Sus scrofa: one gene and its partner. The protein of the gene in region 1 interacts with the protein of each later gene in a biochemical or structural test. Links are inferred from orthologs where the notes say so. Each region holds a gene or a part of one and is shown in the gene's direction. Other genes may lie near its edges.

Region 1 (4,275 bases):
CCTTCCTTCCAACTGCAAAACTTTCTCCTCTTGATCACTATGGCATCACCTTCTTACCTCACAGGTCACTCCTTCCCAGTCTCTCGCTGGCTCTTCTTCTTCCTCTGCCCAACTCTGAAAGAGTGGGGATACCCATAGCCCCGTTCTCTATCTATAATCTTTGATTTGATAATAGCATCTAGTCCCAAAGTTTTAAGTTTCATGCATAAACTCATAACTGCCAAATTTATGTCTCTAGCCTAGACTCTATTCCAGACCTGTTCACTTGACATTATCACTTAGCTATCTAGTAGACACCTTGGACTTGAGTACTGTCAATGCCCTCCAGCTAAAGAGCAGGAGGAACCGCAATTGAACAAGTTAGGTTTCAGTGAGAATGCACACCAGGGACAACCATATAGCATCTCAGTAAGAGGGTGTTAGAAATCTGGGTTTGTGTTACATGATTTAGGGATGGGTTCAAGGAAGAGGGACTTATTGGGAGCTGTAGGAAGGCAGGAGTAAATCTATAATTGTGTATTTTAATAAGTACTATCTAGAATGGCTGAGTGTTTACAGAGGCTAAAATTTTAATTAGTAAAGAAGCAGCAGTCGCTCCCATTAGCCAGGAGAAGAAAATGTTTGCTCATTTTTGTGGCTTGACAAAATGTTTACATTTGGTCTATATCTAGACAAGATTACAGAATGACCTTATTTCTGTCTTGATCCATCATATCGAGGTCACAGAGTGGCCCTGCCTGATGCTGGTGTTCTGTGAAACTCCCTCCCCCCAACTTACTAAGCTGATATCCTACCCTTGCACTTGATCTACCCTTGGCCAACTAGTCTCTTTCCCATTTGGCTCCCAACACGATGCCTCCTTCTGTCACGATCGCGTCCTTCCACTTTATTCCCTTCGGAGCGTTTATCAACATCTAGAAGAATGTTGTTCATTTATTTATTTATTGTCACTGTCTCACTGGAACTTGGCTTCATAAAGGGACGGCGGGGTTTTCTAGGGCGTCTTCTCCGCTGTAACCCCAGCCTCTCGAAGCCAGCCTCAGAGCCAAGGGCTCAAATATATGCTGACTGACCAAGTGGCAGTGAGAATGTCACTGGGCTTGTTTCTTTGAATACAGCCACAAACAACTAGCAATTGCCTTTGTTTGTTGGTTTGTTTGTTTTGAACGGACAGGTGGGGGCATTCCACCAAAAGAAGTGAAAGCTGGGAGTCGAGAAAGTGAACGTCTTTTATCCGGAGGGTCCAAAGTCTCTCTAGGTGAGAATGAGACTCTGCTGTCTCTGACTTACTCTCTTTCCTCCGAGTGCTGTTAGATCCTTAACCTTAGGGGTCACCGTTTTCCAGCGAAGGATCACTCCCCGGCTCTCCATCAGCAACCGTTCCTGGACCAGCCTCCGCCTTGGGGCAGGAACCCACCCCCTGCGCAGGCGCTCGGCGCAGAAACCGCGGCGCGCCGGCTTCACACTGCGCATGTGCGACTCGAGGCGGCGAGGCGGGAAGCGCTGCGCAGGCGCGGTTGGCCGGCTGGCTAGGTGGGCGCTCTTGGAAGCGGCAACCTAGGCTTCTGGGGAGCCACGGAAGTCGTATTCCTTTAAACCGTGAGTTTCCGACGGTTTGTCCCATGGCGCGGGCTCGTGAGGGATTAGAAACGAGTTCTGGATCGTGACTTCCATTTTGTCGCAGCGCAGTGCCCCCCCCCCGACTTTTCGGACCCCTTTGACCTGCGGCGGGAAAGTCGTGCGCCTGCGCACTCAGCGTCCCGTGCGGTCTCGGGTTTGCGGGCACCGGGTCTCCCCCCGCGCAGCGCGCGACCCGCGCTGCCGGAAGGATCCCATTCATGCCCGCTTCCCCGCCGGGCGCTCGCGAGCAAGGTCGTGTCAGTTCTCCACCAACTTGCGTGGGGCCTTGGACGGACCCCCGGCGCCCCCTCTCAGTGGTCGGGCGCTCTCCTCTGCCAGCCTCTCCCTCGGCTCGAACCGCTGTCCCCACTAAGGCTTCCCCGACCCGGGTCGCAGCCTCTGCAGCCCCCGGCGCCCCCGTCCCACCGTCGCCGGGCGGTTTTCCCTTCGGCCCCCTGCTGGTTTTTTCTGCGATGTGAAAGTAAAGCCAATGGAATCCTTAGAAATGGCTCAAGTTTCCCCTTCCTTGGGGAATTTTGACCTACGGTGCGTTTTTAAATGTTTGCCCCTTGGGGGACAGTAGCACTTTTTAGTGTTTAGTTCACTGAGTGATATAAACTTCTCACCTGCTCCAGAATTCTGATTTTCACAGCTGCTTTGCTCCCCCTGTGGACATGACCCCTTAGCTGGCATTTTGCACCCCACTTGCTTTGTGATGGAGGCGTCTCTGGGGGTTCAGATGGATGAACCAATGGCTTTTTCTCCTCTGCATGGCCGCTTTCAGGCGGATGGCTCATTAAAAAAACATGAGCAGAATTTTAAACTACCAGGTATGTGTTTATTTCCAAAGATGTACAGGCAACAATTCTGTAATTTCTATTATTAAAAAACAAACACAAGGCCCAGAACACTTCCTGAAATTTCAAGTGACTTGTGTATTTAAATAGGAGCAGTTTATGAATCAGTAAAACTTTCTAAGGTCTAGTTTGGGAATTGGATTGCATTTTGGGAGGATTGTCGTCTAACCATACCATTTTACAGATGAAGTTGCTAGTCTAAATATTCCTGGTTGTCAAAGAACACAAAGTTTGTTGATACTCGACGGGAATTTCTCTTCTAGAATTTCTACCACTATATTGCATTAAGCTTGGATTTAGCAATTGACGTTGGTGGGATTTTGGTTTAAGTATGCAGCAGCAGTATTCACTGACAAAAGTAAATGAAATGTTTGCAGTGATAATTAGGGACTGTATCTCAGTGTACATCATGAAGTTTTATTTGCCACTTAGCCTGACCTTGAAATGAGAGAGAGGGTCAAACAGTGCCTGAGTTTGCATTCTGTAATGTGCGTCTTTATTCCTGCTCTAGCACAGTGCCTGGGACAAGGCAGGCATTTAATAAATATTGGTTAAATAGGGGTTCCAGTTGGTTGTTGGTTGTATTTCTTTTTTCCTAAATGTAGCTGAGTCTTTTTTTCCATCTTTGTCTTAAGCGTTATTTAGTACTTGTTCAAAAATATTATTTTTGGGAGTTCCCGACCTGGCTCAGCAGTAACGAACCAGCTAGTATCCATGAGGACGAGGGTTTAATCCCTGGCCTCGCTCAGTGGGTTAAGGATCTGGCGTTGCTGTGGCTGTGGTGTAGGCCGGCAGCTGCAGTTCTGATTCAACCCGGAGCCTGGGAACTTCCATATGCTGTGGTGCAGCCCTAAAAACAGAAGGGGAAAAAAACCCACTGCAGTGAACAAAGTATCTGGCATAGTATTAAATCAAATGTTTATTCTTTCCTTTTCTCAGCAAACTTTTTTTTTTTTTGAAGTATCTGCCGTATGCCAAGTTTAATAAGTGATAAAACCTTTTGAGTTGAAAGAATGAGGTATAAACTCTGTGTGCACTGAGTGTCTCCTCCATACTGTTGAGTAGAAGGCTTGCTTGCGGGGTGCTATCTGGATGCCCTTGGCCCACACTTCTAAGACGGGTTACAGGTAGTGTTCTGGTTTGCCCGAGACGGGTCTAGTTTATGCCTGTTGTCACAGTGTAATTCTTAGCGCCCCCTTTCATTCTCAGAGTGTCCCAATTTGGGCTAAATGGTATGATCTCCCTTGTTACAGGAGACCTGATTTTAGGCCGTACATGAAGCCCCAGAATAAGCATGACATATATTTCTAGAGTGTCAGTTTACTGCTTGGTAAGAAATTGAAACCATTTCATTCGTATGGTGAATATTTCTTAAATGTCTGTTAGTGCAGGCAGCTTCCTGGGTGCTGGTAACACATCAGTTCACGATGCACAAAAATCAATGCCCTCAAGTCGTAGTAGAGATAGAAAATAAAAATTAAATAGTGTGTTCAAACATAATTAGTGCTGTGAAGACAATGCAAAGGGAAGGAGTGCCAAGACATTTTGGGGAAGAAAATTGTGATTTTAGTCCGAGGAGGTTTGGGGTGGTAACATTTGGGCTCCGACTTGACGGGGTTAACTGCCCGTGCATGTGTCTGGGGCCGAGCGTCCCAGGCAGAGGAATCAGCGAGTTTGAAGACCTTAAGCTGGAGTGTGCCCAGCACTCAGAGAGGGCCAGCTGCTCACGGAGCTGCAGGACGGCAGGAGAGGGGGGTGAAGTCAGAGAGGGGCGAGAAAGGAGGTGGTTCTATGGCTT
Region 2 (2,197 bases), on another chromosome or scaffold:
TCTCACCCGGCCCAGGGTGGGGCTGCCCCTCAGTCCGATGAGCCCCTGATGGGGCGTCAGCACTGCCCCTTCCGTTGGGGTGCCTCCGTGGGGAGACCTGAGGTACCCTCTCTGCAGGCCACAGGCAGCATCCCCATCACAGTGCGGCACATTGAGTCCATGATCCGCATGGCTGAGGCCCACGCGCGCATCCACCTGCGGGACTACGTGATGGAGGACGATGTCAACATGGCCATCCGCGTGATGCTGGAGAGCTTCGTGGATACACAGAAGTTCAGCGTCATGCGCAGTATGCGGAAGGTGGGCGCGCCACGGCATGGGGGCGGGGCCGGACCCAATCTTACTTGGAGCGGCCTTGAGTGCTTGTGGGCTGGCTGACTCCACCTCTCTCCACAGACCTTCGCCCGCTACCTGTCCTTCCGGCGGGACAACAATGAGCTATTGCTCTTCATCCTGAAGCAGCTGGTGGCTGAGCAGGTGGCTTATCAGCGCAGCCGCTTTGGGGCCCAGCAGGACACTATTGAAGTGCCCGAGAAGGACTTGGTGGACAAGGTAGGGTGTGGCCAGAAGGGAGCTTGGGCGGCCTGGGGCTGCAGGTCACCTGGGCAGAGCATCCTCTGTGCTTAGTGGCCAGGCAGGGCTGAGGGCCGCTTCACGGATGTGTGTGCTGTGCTGAGCCTGGTTCTGCACACTGCGACCTTGCCTGCAGCCAGTCACTGGGTGTCCTGTTACTGTCACCCGTTCTGCAGGGCCCGGGCACAGGGCAGCCACACCCCTGTCCAAGTTCACAGGCAGCTGTCCACACTAAGCTTTCAAGCCCCGTGTCCAGTTCCAGCCACTTACTTGGCCTTGTTTACCCTCCCCGTGATGGAGACGGAGCCCCTGCCACCCATGGCTGGGCAGCAAGTCCTCCTGGCTCACTGCACACCCCTCTTTTCAGGCTCGTCAGATCAACATCCACAATCTGTCTGCCTTTTACGACAGTGAGCTCTTCAGGATGAACAAGTTCAGCCATGATCTGAAGCGGAAGGTGATCCTTCAGCAGTTCTGAGCAACGGGGTTTTTGTGTGATGCTGGCAGGTCTGCTCAGGAAACCAAGCCAGTCCTAGAGGGAAGGTGGTGTGGCTGGCCTGCAGCTGCATGTTTCCTCACTCTCGAGTCCTGCTTGGTGATTTCATTTCCTCTGCTCTTGCCATCTGGGTTACCACCTTTCCCAGAGCTGCTTTTTCAGCTGCCCGCCAGTGGCCCACCACCAACCTCCTTCTGTGGGGTGGTGTGGCATGTGTTCAGGACACCCAGGGTCTGTTCTGGGAGATGGGGTTCATGAGGCAATCTTGGCATGATGTCTCTGTCCTGCTGCCTGTGCTGCCATTGCCTGAACGAAGAGCGAGGTCACTTTACTTGCTGTGTGTTCTGAACTGGGTCCTGCGGTTCTCTAGGCTTTCCTGAGTAGAGGCAGCATTTGGGTTCTTCACAGAGGGGACCCTGACTGGTCACATAGCCCTGCAACCTTGGCTTCTGCCAGAGGGAAGGTTGGTTGGGGTCAGGGATGATGACTCGTGGTGGGGGTGATCCCAGCAAGGCCCCTGTGTGGGGTAGTCTGTCCTCCTGCCTGGCCACTTCCCCATGCTCTTGTTTGTACATTCACTTCTCCTTCCTGTAGTTTTAGTTTTTAATAAAATGGAGTAAAATCTGAATACTGGTCTCAACTTTACATCTTTGGCATTGTGCCTCAGGCCTCCCTGCACTTCCCTTTTTGCCCTGTCTCCTGCCTCTGGTTTTCTGCAGGTGTAGGTCAGCCTGGAAGAGTGGTTTTGTCTGTGGGTGTGGGTCTTCCTGGGGAGTTCAGTTGGCAGTTGCTGTCTGTGTGTCTATCTGGAGTCGGGGGCTCACACATACTGGTGCACCCAGAGGGCCTGGAGGTGACTGGGCCTTGGGGAACAGCCCTGCTCTTTCTGGCACTGCACTGGCCTCTCCCTGGAAGCTTGTGGCTGGAGACCTAGGTTGAGGTCCAGGGACAATGGAGAGCTTCCTTTTAATGAAGAGGGAAACAGTTTCACAGGTAACTTTGAATCTAGACAGCCAAGTTGTAGTCCCCATGGGGCTGGGTGATCGATCAGCCTGCTGAGAGCAGAGTGGCAACTGCTGTTGGAAGCTTGAGTGCCTACTTGTGAGCCAGCTAAGGACACTGGGGTGA

Evidence for each region.
Region 2: of the proteins of CDC7 (region 1) and MCM2, one has a biochemical effect on the other in vitro, tested with the Homo sapiens proteins (8 studies listed by BioGRID). The link is inferred for Sus scrofa from reciprocal best matches to the Homo sapiens genes CDC7 and MCM2.

The regions. Positions count from the first base shown.
Region 1 is NC_010446.5:125,456,560-125,460,834, reverse strand, and holds the start of CDC7 (cell division cycle 7-related protein kinase), read left to right. Parts: upstream 1-1,475; 5' UTR 1,476-1,599; exon of another isoform or gene 1,600-2,166; intron 2,167-2,255; 5' UTR 2,256-2,335; coding exon 2,336-2,450; intron 2,451-3,277; exon of another isoform or gene 3,278-4,275. UniProt on the Homo sapiens protein: Kinase involved in initiation of DNA replication. Phosphorylates critical substrates that regulate the G1/S phase transition and initiation of DNA replication, such as MCM proteins and CLASPIN.
Region 2 is NC_010455.5:72,629,878-72,632,074, reverse strand, and holds the end of MCM2 (DNA replication licensing factor MCM2), read left to right. Parts: intron 1-117; coding exon 118-300; intron 301-396; coding exon 397-552; intron 553-940; coding exon 941-1,051; 3' UTR 1,052-1,697; downstream 1,698-2,197. UniProt on the Homo sapiens protein: Acts as a component of the MCM2-7 complex (MCM complex) which is the replicative helicase essential for 'once per cell cycle' DNA replication initiation and elongation in eukaryotic cells.